Linked DNA regions of Mus musculus. The protein of the gene in region 2 purifies or fractionates together with the protein of the main gene of each other region. This does not show direct contact. Links are inferred from orthologs where the notes say so. Each region holds a gene or a part of one and is shown on either strand. Other genes may lie near its edges. The genes, in order: Sprtn, Pold3 and Pold1.

Region 1 (4,385 bases), on a different chromosome or scaffold from region 2:
TACATCCTTACGGTCAAGAGCTCAAAACTGCTGTTACATCATTGCATAGCAACAGACAGTTCTGGATATAGGCATGACCCCTAGTGTAGGGGACAGCACACCTCAGCCCTGGCTGTGATATCTCCTCCAACATTGTCACTGTCGGGACGATGAGGGAGAATTTAGGATGAGCTGGAGCTGCCCCTGAAGGTCAGAGGAGGATAATGTATGCCTGAGATGCTGACCTGCAGTTAATGGAAGCCCCAGCAAAGAGGCTTGCTGGCTCCTTAGCCACTCCACCTAGAGCCTAGATGATAGGGCTTTTGCTCAAGGCTAAAAATATCCGTTTCTACCTAGTTCACTTTTACTGAATGGCTACTGGGTTTGGTAGCACATACCCATAATCCCACCACTTGGGCTGAGTTAGAATTGTGAGTTTGAGGCCAGACTGGGCTAGACAGTAAAACCCTGATCTTGCTTGCTCCCCACACCTGTGTGGCTCAGTATACCGTTATGTTGGCTCCTGTCAGTTGGTTGATTCGATGCATATGTTTACAGAACTCTGGGCCGTGTCCTTCCCGGTCTTTATCATTATTAGTGACAAATAAGTAGGCATGTATCATTTCATGCAAAAGAGTCTGAAACAGAAAACCAGCGTATTAATTTTCTAGGGCATGTCTAAAGATAAAAGGAATTCTCTTTCTTTTTTTTTTTGGTCTTTTGAGACAGGGTTTCTCTGTGTAGCCCTGGCTATCCTGGAACTCACTCTGTAGACCAGGCTGGCCTTGAACTCAGAAATCCGCCTGCCTCTGCCTCCCAAGTGCTGGGATTAAAGGTTTCTGCCACCACGCCCGGCATGAATTCTCTTTCTTAACCTGCAGTCCTATCCTTCTGCAGACCCAAGTACAAACCTTTACATATAATATTCCAAGCTCTGCAGAACCCAGTCAACAATCCCCTTCACAGAATTAACATTTTTCACAAAGGCCCATTTAACTTAACCAACCCAAACCCAAAAGGTCAGTGAATCCAACCACACAAAACTTTAAAATCCTGATAGTGAAAACTCTACAATCCAGACTCCAGGTGCCGAACCGGAAATGCCAACACTGAAAGAGCCGACAGCCTGGTGCGTACCCGTGATGGCAAATCTCAAGATGGAGGCAGAAAGCTCAGGCGTTTGAGATCAGCTCACCATCAACCCCTCTAAAAATAGCTGGGTATGGGCATGACAGCTCACTGGGGAAGCTGAAGCAAGAGAAGCATAAAGACCAGGGCCAACCTAAGGAACAGAGACTCTTGTCTCTTAAAATCAACAAAATAACCTGGCCAGGAATGGTGGTGCACAGCTGTAAACCCTTGGGTAGAGGCAAGAGGATCTTGTGGTTGAAGCCAGTATGGGCTGCTATCAAGAACCCATCTCTAGCCGGGTGGTGGTGGCACACGCCCTTAATCCCAGCACTTGGGAGGCAGAGGCAGGCGGATTTCTGAGTTCGAGGCCAGCCCAGTCTACAGAGTGAGTTCCAGGACAGCCAGGACTACACAGAGAAACCCTGTCTCGAAAAACAAACAAACAAACAAACAAAGAACCCATCTCTTAAAAATAAATAAATAAATAAATAAATCCTGCAAATCAACTTGTTGAGAATCAGGCTTATGCAAAGAATACCTCTACAAGGTCCTTTCTTGGTCTCAGTTTTAACAGGGGCTCACTGAGACGGATGGAGCACATGCCTCCTCTCCCTTCATAGGTGCAGATCCCAGCACACCTGGAAAACAGTCACAACAATGGATTAGGGTCAACGAATACAGAGGAGACAGAACAAAAAGCAAACCTTAGTCTGGCATGGTGGTGCAGGCCTTTAATCCCAGCACGTGGAAGGCAGATGCAGGAGGATCTCCGAGTTCCAGGCCAGCCTGGTCTACAGAGTATGTTCCAGGACAGCCACAGATACATAGTGAGGCCCTCTCCCCTCTCCCCACAAAAAAGGGGGTGGGGGTGGGCAGCAAATCCCTAACAGTTCTTGGGCAAGAACTGTTTCACAAGAAAACGTCCCTGATGGGAGGATGGCTTTCCTGAGTGGGTCACTTGGCTTCAGAGAGTTAACACTTGCTAACCCTCACCCACTGTCACCCTCTCCCCTCCGCACAGGCATACATGGGCACTTCTCCCAAAACAGTCACAGGGCTGGTATGAGGTTAGAAGTACACTACGTCTTAGCCTGCTTTACCTCAAGCTGCTATGTGACAGTGTATGTGCGGGGCAGATTACTATCTCGAATAGGATTTCTCAAACTCTGATAAGGGATCCGGCTGGTTCATCACTGAGGGACGTTGGGCCCGGGACTGGGGAGTGGGCACGTTTCCCGGCGACCTCTCCCTGCGCCGCGAGGCGGGGACACCAACGACAATTTAGCGGCCTGGCCCTTCCCGACGTTCCGAGCCGTTCGCGGACGCACTCACAGGGTCATGCGCACACTCCACTTCACCTCCACCGCCTCCAGCTGACCCCAGAAGAAGCGATCGTTAAACTGCAGGAAGAGCGCCTGCAGGTCTGGGGTGGGGTCCACCAGCTCCCAGGACGCGTCCACCAACGACACGGGCTCCCGCGCCGCCGCCGCGCGCCGCGCCATCTGCACGTCCCACTCCTCCTGCAGCCGCAACGCGACCACCAGATCCTCGTCCATCCCGCTACTCCCACCTCGGCCGCTCCCAAGACGCCGGTCGGGCTCGTGCGGCGCACGGATCTCGCGAGGCCTCCCGGCCCTGCTGTCAGGGCGCGCGGGCTAGCCTCGAACGCCTAACCGAAGGTGGCTCGGCGCTGCCCCGCGGGCACAGGCTTAGGAACGCTGGGCTCGGGCTGGGGACGGCTTTAGGCAGCCGGTTGTCTCCTGACAGCCGCTGAGGTCCGGCGACACACGTCAAGTCTGGTCCGTGCCGGACCCTCCTCTGACTTCCGTGCTGGCTCGTCCGCGCACGCGCCTTAAGACGCTGCCGTTTCCGCGCAGGCGCATTGTCCGCACTCCGCCCCGGGCGCAGGCGCAGTGCGAGCGGCTCGACTCTGGCACAGGCGCAATGCAGCGCTCGGCTCCGGCGCAGGCGTTTGGGTGTTGCTCCCGCCCCGCTTCCTCCGCTGCCTTCTCCACCGGGCTCGGGTGGGGCCCGGAGGCGGCGAGTAACAGCCACTGCGGGCCGCGGGAGCAAGACGAGTGGCAGCCATGTCGGACAGCGGGGCGAGCCGCCTGCGGAGGCAGCTGGAGTCGGGGGGCTTCGAGGCGCGGCTGTACGTGAAGCAACTGTCGCAGCAGTCGGACGGCGACCGCGACCTGCAGGAGCACCGGCAGCGGGTGCAGGCGCTGGCAGAGGAGACGGCACAGAACCTGAAGCGCAACGTCTACCAGAACTACCGGCAGTTCATCGAGACGGCGCGGGAGATCTCCTACCTGGAGAGCGAAATGTACCAGCTGAGCCACCTGCTGACTGAGCAGAAGAGCAGCCTGGAGAGCATCCCGCTGGCACTGCTGCCCGCCGCCGCCGCGGGCGCCTCTGCGGGTGAGGACACGGCCGGCGCGGGGCCGCGGGAGCGCGGGGCGGTCCAGGCGGGCTTCCTGCCCGGGCCGGCGGGCGTCCCTCGAGAGGGTTCCGGGACGGGCGAGGAGGGCAAGCAGCGAACGCTCACCACGCTGCTGGAGAAGGTGGAGGGCTGCAGGGACCTGTTGGAGACGCCAGGTCAGTACCTGGTGTACAACGGGGACCTGGTGGAATACGATGCGGACCACATGGCCCAGCTGCAGCGCGTGCACGGCTTCCTCATGAACGACTGTCTGCTGGTGGCCACCTGGCTGCCACAACGGCGAGGCATGTACCGCTACAACGCACTCTACCCGCTGGACCGCCTGGCGGTGGTCAACGTCAAAGACAATCCGCCCATGAAAGACATGTTCAAGCTTCTCATGTTCCCCGAGAGCCGAATCTTCCAGGCGGAAAATGCCAAGATCAAGCGCGAGTGGCTGGAAGTGCTGGAGGAAACCAAGAGGGCCCTCAGCGACAAGAGGAGGCGGGAGCAGGAGGAGGCAGCAGCCCCGCGTGCGCCACCACCGGTCACTTCCAAGGGCAGCAACCCGTTTGAGGACGAGGATGATGAAGAACTGGCCACCCCTGAGGCGGAGGAGGAAAAGGTTGACCTTTCCATGGAGTGGATCCAAGAGCTGCCGGAAGACTTGGATGTTTGTATTGCACAGAGGGACTTTGAGGGTGCCGTGGACTTGCTGGACAAATTAAATCACTACCTGGAAGATAAGCCCAGCCCACCTCCTGTGAAAGAGCTGAGGGCCAAAGTGGACGAACGAGTGCGACAGCTCACCGAGGTGCTTGTGTTTGAGCTCTCCCCGGATCGCTCTCTGAGA
Region 2 (3,644 bases):
AGGAAAATCAAAAGGGTAGTAAAAAAGGCATCTTAGTAGACCTCCACGAGGAGCCCTGATCCTGGGACTGATGGCAATGAAACAGAGGTGTCTTCAGACAGGCTCAAGGAAAGTGAGGACGGAGAAGACCTGCACAGGAAGCCGGTGTGCAAGAACTATGAACGAGCCCTGGATTCAGTCCAAGGCAACAGAGCTTCTGGTGCTTAAGGCCTGGGAAGAGCTCAGTAATACCTGTTCCCCACCGCGAGGGAAACAATGGAAGTCAACAAAAGAGCACCAGCGCTGAGACTGGGACTGAGACTGCGTTGTGGTTGAGATGAAAAAAGCAACAGTACCCTGAGCTGGCGGGCATGCAGAGGGGCAAGAACAGAAAAGAATGCAGGAGCCTAAACACCTGTCTGTACCAGCAGCTAAGCCTCGGCCTTACAACAGGCCACTCCAAGTGACCTATCAAAACGAGTACTCAGGTTACAAATCACCTAATTTTTTTCCCTCCTTTTTTATTTAACATTGGAATCTGACTTGAAATTTGAAGATGAAAATTAAGTACCAGTGTCTACAATACGTATTCAAAAGGAAAAAGAGGTTCAAGGAAAAGCCATTCCCTAATGTCTCATTTCCTAGGTAACTAAGAGTGACAGTCTCCTCATCACAGACAAGATATTACATAACCTTTCTTGTCAGATTTAGTTTAAAATTTCAGAACACTCACTCTCTTTAAGAGGTACTTTAAAACTTCCATACCATTCACTCTTCCTTCTTCCTCCTGTTATTTCTAATAATGTTTCTATCTCATGAACATGAAGTCTTGTTACAAGAGAACTTACAGAATGTCCGTTCTGTATAAGACTGCCAGACACCAAGTAGGTAACATGCAGCTGAGCTCCCGAATTTTCTTTCCGTTTCCTTTCAACATATTCATAGAGCATCCTGTGCCAAACAAGACAGAAGTGACTCATTAGCATGCAGCTTCCTCATCGACTCCGGATTCATGACTTGGAAGTCATATATATGAAATCTGACAGTTTCTTCAACAGCACAATTTTTTACTTACTGAACAGATTTTTGAAAAAACAATGAAAAAACTTTAGATGGAGCATGGGACTGGAACCAACTTATCTGAGTTGGCTAAGACACCCAGGAAGTAACTGAGGTAAATCTAGAAATATGCCAAGAGGGACAGAACCCATAGTCAAACAGTGGCAATGGCCAAACTGCAGATACAAAAGTGAGTCAATTATCGAGCTATGGCATCCAGAATAAACTTTTCTTGGTTTCCTATCTTCAGGCATAAAGCACAAGTGGCATTACTACATGAATAACTCTTATAACCCGAAGTCATACACTGTCTGCAAGCCTCTATTCTCAAATATCAATAGTCTATATGTGCTTTCCTAGAGATGGAAAGGATTTGGGGTTTTTAGTAATTCTATGAGATCATTATGTTAAATACTTCAAGTCATCATATACATCATGACAAATATATATTCACCTGTTACTACTGAATTACATACAGTCAGATGTTTCATGATGTAGAATATAGCAGATGCTTACACCAGCCAACATCTAAAATGTTCATTAACCACACACTAAATGCAGAAGTGTTGCTTGCAGTAAAGTCTTTATTCACTTTTATCCCAACCACCCAAAATACCAGAAGTTGATGCCCCTCAATGGAGTTTAACAATAAAAAGATGCACATCATCTGTCTTTATTTCAAGAAATATTTAGCAAGCTTCTACAACATATCACACTTCAGTTGAGAACAGCCAGAAACTCAGAAATTCTGATAGCTAGGTATGGTGGTACAGGCCTTTAATTATCCTAGAGGAAGAGGCAGGTGGATTTCTGTGAGTTCAAGTCCAGCCTGGTCTACACAGTAAGTACCAGGCTTACTCCAGTAAGCCTAAGAAACCCTGTCTTCTCCAGACGCCCTCCCTCGCTTACCTTCCACGATACCCAGCCGAGTCCCCTGCTACACCTGCTCCATTTTTCCTGCAGTTTCTGTGCTTTCCTCTCCTTAGCCATCTTACCCTATTTTAGTATGACCAGTCACCCCAGTTTGCCTGACTCAGATAGGTTTCCTGGGAAATGGGATATGGTTGGTCACCCCGTGGTATCCTCCATTGTCTATTTTATTCAACTCCATGGCTTCGGTTTTTTTTCCCTGATGACATCATCATTTGTTCAAACCACCTTAGCCAGAAATCCAGGAGTCATTACCTTTCTCCTTATGCAATGAGTTGCCAAGTCTCATCAGTCCTCCCTCCCAACTAACTCTTGACTGGACTCTATGCTCTCCAACACGCTATACTAGACTATTTCAAGTCCAAGGGTCACCTGTATTCTCTTTTCACCATCATTATCTGTGAGGCTGTCATAGTGAAGTTTTAAAATGCAAGTCAGTAAAAAAAAAAAAAAAAAAAAAAAGTCAATAGATTAAAAAAACGAATCAAAACGTTCCTGAGTGCCCACTTGTGTTCTAAGCAGTAAACAAAGGAGTCACGGCTCCTACCCATCTGGACCAGCCATTTCTTTCCTAGAGCGTAAGCTTAAAATTGGTAGGAACTTGAATCACAGCCATCTGTCTGCCTCCCTTTAATCCTAGGGAGGGAGTCTGAGGCCAGCCTGGCTTACATAGGGAATTCCAGGCCAGGCAGGGCTATATAGGTTCCATCCATCTAATTCCTCCTACTCCAAGTCTCTCTGACACGGCTAGCCAAGCAGAGCACCTCTGCCTCCCGAGTGTTAACAGCTTACGCCCTATCATGCATTCTGACATCTACTACACCACACTCTATCACAGGTTTTTAAGGCTGCCTTTCCATACACCACCAGTTACGTAAGTACAAAGCGTGCACTATTTGTCAGTTTTACGGATTCTTCCGCCTTGCTCTCTCACATCTTCCCCACTTCAGAGACCACGTTAGAAGGGCAGATGAGGGGGTGGACTCTTGACTGTTGATGCTAATTAGGACCTGCTAATAGAAAACCAAAAAGGCAAATACCATGTCTACCATGCTCTCAAGCGTGTCAGCCAACTAGTCTTTTCTCCACAGCTCTTGACCTTGCCTGGGTCAGTCAGCAAACCACTGTCTTCTGCACAGGTTTCCCCAAATAAACCCCAGCTGTTCCCATATTAGTTTCTCTTCTCACTTGTTTTTGTTTTGTTTTCTTTTTAATCTATTTCCCTTCTTACTGAGAAGTTTACAACAAACTTTTTTAAAAAGGAATTTATACCTACTTTAACACGTTTCTTATTTAGTAAAGGCAAGTACTCCATTTCTGACAATAATATATGTGAAATATTCTTTAAAATGAGTGAAAAGCCTTGACATGCTGCAGAATGTTTCCTATGCACATGATGACTTACAACCTCCCCGAGACCCTTAACTTTCCTCTCCTTTAGCTCCCCTGGAACCAAACCAATTTTAGTCCTCCATAATATTTTTCCAATCTGAAGATGTCATGTTTAAGTCAATGAGGAAGGATCTTGTCTGTTAAATAATACTTTAAAAAAAGAACTAAAAACAAGAATTTGTTTTGTTTTCTCAAGAAAAGGTTTCTCTGTGTAGCCCTGGCTGTCCTGACACTCACTCATTAGACCAGGCTGGCCTCAGAACCCAGAGATCCATTTGCCTCTG
Region 3 (3,430 bases), about 56 Mb from region 2:
CTAGTCACATGGCAGAGAGGGTGGGCCTAGGAGCCATCTGGATTTGGGGATCCCCACCATTGGGGATGGAAGGCTGACATGGAGAGAATTGCTGAGAAAGGGGAGTGAGACAAAAGATTTGCAGGCCCTGGGGACAGGATGTCAGAGGGACCAATGGTGACCAGGACAGGATGGCAGGGAACATGAAGCCCAGACACAGTATGAGGACAGGGAATCTCCCAAGAGCTGAGGGGAAGCCCGGGGAGACAGACCACCAGGACCCTCTGGTGGGAGCTACTCCATGGCTGTGCCGTGACAGGGAGGGTCCCATGTTGCCCTGAGGTGTGCTAGGGGCTGCCCCAGGCCTGGACAGCACCTAATGCCAGCTGGGTGGCCACCAGTCCCCTGGGGAGGGGCAAAACAGAGTAGTAGGGTCCCATGCTGGGTTTCAGAGGGAAAACAGAGATGTCAGTCCTGTGTGGACACAGGCAGGCACACTGGGGCTCCAGAGGGTTGTACAGAGTCTACACCATGAAACCCAACCTGTTCCCAAAGACCACAACACACAGCCAGTAGCAAAAGATCTGAACTTTATTCCTTGTCCCGTGTCAGGTCACCAGGCCTCAGGGCCGGGCGGTCCAAAGCGCTGCAGCAGCCGTTCCTGGTCTTCCAGGTCCTTGCGCACCTTCTTGCGCATGTAGAAGATGGGACAGTCACGGCTGCGGAGGATGGTGGTCAGGGGCTGTTCCCAGGACTTTGACCCCTTCCTGCTGCCCACCCAGGGGAGGGGGCTGTTTGCTTATCGGGCATAGGGAAGCCGATAACAGCAGTACCCCTAGAGGTAGACAGCTGTATATCAGCTGTCACCTGGCGTGGGAACCCGCCCCGCCCGCCTGTTCCCTGGGGAAAGCCCGGCCCCACCCCGGGGGAGGCTAGGCAGAGACCAAGCCCAGGCAGACCCTGCCCATTCTGCAGTGAGGTCCCACAGCTGGGTCAGGAGTCTGATGGCAGGAGGGGGGAGGGCACACCTGGTACAGATGACGTCCTCATGCAAGCTGCCCTGGCAGCGTTGACACTGTGTCCAGAGGCGAGAGAACCGTTCTTCCAAGGCATTCAGGTGTGACACCTGGGGACACAGTGGCTTGAGCAGGGCTGTTCGGATCAGGCGTGCTCCAGCTCCCTCCCTGCCTCACTCACCTCCTTCTGATAGAGCTCCGACTCCCGTGGCTGACAGAACTTACACACGGCTCCTGGGGGTGGGGTGGGTGAGCACAGAGGTATTGGGACCAAGCCAGGTTCTAGTCTCCATCCCTGCATCTCTTCTCCACCCGCTGCCCATCCCGGCTTCTGAAAGTCCCCAGAGGCAAGAGAACAAGGGCCCAAGTGTGTGGGGAAAACTCCCCTGGGGAACCCCGGGGCAGGCGAGGACCCTCCGCTGGAGTGCAGGCAGAATGGAGTCCTGTGGCAGGGCCCGACCAGTGGGTATAAGGGCTGTAACTCGGTCTCACCTTGATGGTCGATTACGGAGCGGCAGCCAATGCAACAGTTGCGGCGCTTGGTGAAGGCCAAGAGGCCGCCCACCTTGCTGGTGAGCACAGTCTTGCATCGTGTGTGGTCACCGCCTAGAGGAGGGAAGCTGAATGGCCTTGTCCCTGCCTCCGCCTCGGCCCCTTTCCCCGCTCACACTCCCTCCTGGGCGGTCCACTTACGCAGCAGCACAGACTCTGCACGGCCCTCACCCAGGATGGGCTCAAAGATGCGCAAGAGCGGCTTGGCCAGCTGCTGCTCCAGGTAGTACTGAGTGTCGATGGGCAGGCTGTGCTCCAGCACAAACAGGGGGTCCTGTGGGCAGGCCAGGGTCACCAATGGCTGCAGAGGGGCATGGGCTAGGGGCTAGAGAGCTACACACTGTATCTGCAGGCTCTGATAAAGGGGTGGGCCTGGAACTGTGACTCGGGTCTGGGTGGGGACCCTCAGATCGCCAAGAGTTAGTTTCCCCATGGGAGAAGGGCCATGGATAGGGTGCAGGGGTCAGAAGCATCCAGGCTTGGAGATGACAAAGACAAATAGAGTTGGCAACCCAGGTGGGGAGGGCGCAGCAGCCAACTCTGCCCAGGGAGGCACTACACTAAGTATGGCCCAGGGGCATGGCCGCCCCAGGAAAGCAGAAGTGAAATTCTGGGAGGGGCCCAGCCCAGGTGGGCCTGACCTCCGACTTCATGTAGGCGGCCACACCCTTAGCAGCACCAATGATCACATAGGGGACTCGGTCACCCAGGCTGGGCGCACTGCCGGGGTCGCGCTTCCTCATCCTGCGGATAAGGGGGTTGGATGAGGTTTGGGGAGGGTGGAGTGGAGCCAGCTGCAGGAAGCTGTGTGGCTGCCCACCTCTCAGCCAGCTCCACGTGAGCCTGCTTGCCAGCATAGTCTGCTGCTGCGCGGGTCAACTCTTTGGTGATGACCAGCTGGGAGATGTCTATGCGGTTGCACAGCAGGTCCGAGATGACGTCCTTGGCATGGGCTACTGCCCCATCAGGGTCCCTGAGAGAGAGAGGGGGGAGGGAGGATGTCCACAGGCACTACGGGATGGGGATGCAACTTTTACCAGCTAGGATCTAGGCATCTTGCACTCTGGGCTGACACTGGGGTTGGGGTTAAGTGCAGAGGCGGGAAAGGCCACAGGCAGTCACAGCTGCCAGCCTGATTTACCACCGCCCCACCCCTGAGCCACCTGGGTTCCCAAGGTATGAGAGGCCCCTGGGTCTGCAGGAGGCTGACTTCTTGGCCTAGGTGGGACAGACACAGACACACACACACACACACACACACACACACACACACCGGTCCACGAGGATCCGGCGCAGAGAGGATGTAACGAGGTTGGCCACCAGGGGACAGTTGTCCCTGCGCACAGCCTCCAGGCCCTTGCAGTCCATTTTGTCATGGGCATCAGAGCGGGAGGAGAAGAGCAGGCCAGCATAGCGCTTCTTGCTGATGAGCAGGTATGGGAAGTAAACCTGCAAAGGACCCATGGGCGGAGCCTGTGCACATTCCTCCATGGCCTGTGCACATTCCTCCGCCCCGAATCCCGAGACCAGGAAACACAACAGGCAAGGAATGAATCCCAAGAAGGCCCAGCACTCTCCAGCACCCCAGAAACCCACTTGACATAATGCCATAGGCCTAAGGCTGGCCCCGAAATTATGAAATCCAGACAGGTGACACTGTAAAGTCTTGCAGCCATGGGAAGAGACAGGACCAAGTGAGCCCTGAGCTGAGATAACCCTGGATGAGAAGCCAGGGGTGTCATGTTTGAGCTTCTGGCGAGAACTGGAGCCACGTACATGCAGACAGATCCAAAATGTACCACTGGTTTGCACAACAGGGGCCTCAGCTACAACCCAGAACACTGCAAGACTCCCAGCCTGGGGACCCCCACACTACTGTACTG

Evidence for each region.
Region 1: the proteins of Pold3 (region 2) and Sprtn purify together in Homo sapiens (affinity purification with mass spectrometry; 3 studies listed by BioGRID, with this or other methods). This does not show direct contact. The link is inferred for Mus musculus from reciprocal best matches to the Homo sapiens genes POLD3 and SPRTN.
Region 3: the proteins of Pold3 (region 2) and Pold1 purify together in Homo sapiens (co-immunoprecipitation; 8 studies listed by BioGRID and IntAct, with this or other methods). This does not show direct contact. The link is inferred for Mus musculus from reciprocal best matches to the Homo sapiens genes POLD3 and POLD1.

Annotation. Positions count from the first base shown.
Region 1 is NC_000074.6:124,896,439-124,900,823, reverse strand, and holds the start of Sprtn (sprT-like domain-containing protein Spartan), read right to left. Parts: upstream 2,931-4,385; 5' UTR 2,667-2,930; coding exon 2,443-2,666; exon of another isoform or gene 2,211-2,442; intron 1,749-2,210; coding exon 1,649-1,748; intron 618-1,648; coding exon 489-617; intron 1-488. Other genes in the region: Exoc8 (exocyst complex component 8), read left to right, coding at 3,198-4,385. UniProt on the Homo sapiens protein: DNA-dependent metalloendopeptidase that mediates the proteolytic cleavage of covalent DNA-protein cross-links (DPCs) during DNA synthesis, thereby playing a key role in maintaining genomic integrity.
Region 2 is NC_000073.6:100,111,443-100,115,086, forward strand, and holds part of Pold3 (DNA polymerase delta subunit 3), read right to left. Parts: intron 931-3,644; coding exon 828-930; intron 1-827. UniProt on the Homo sapiens protein: Accessory component of both the DNA polymerase delta complex and the DNA polymerase zeta complex.
Region 3 is NC_000073.6:44,532,197-44,535,626, forward strand, and holds the end of Pold1 (DNA polymerase delta catalytic subunit), read right to left. Parts: intron 2,997-3,430; coding exon 2,821-2,996; intron 2,521-2,820; coding exon 2,368-2,520; intron 2,292-2,367; coding exon 2,189-2,291; intron 1,822-2,188; coding exon 1,689-1,821; intron 1,602-1,688; coding exon 1,488-1,601; intron 1,230-1,487; coding exon 1,177-1,229; intron 1,106-1,176; coding exon 1,008-1,105; intron 699-1,007; coding exon 593-698; 3' UTR 548-592; downstream 1-547. UniProt on the Homo sapiens protein: As the catalytic component of the trimeric (Pol-delta3 complex) and tetrameric DNA polymerase delta complexes (Pol-delta4 complex), plays a crucial role in high fidelity genome replication, including in lagging strand synthesis, and repair.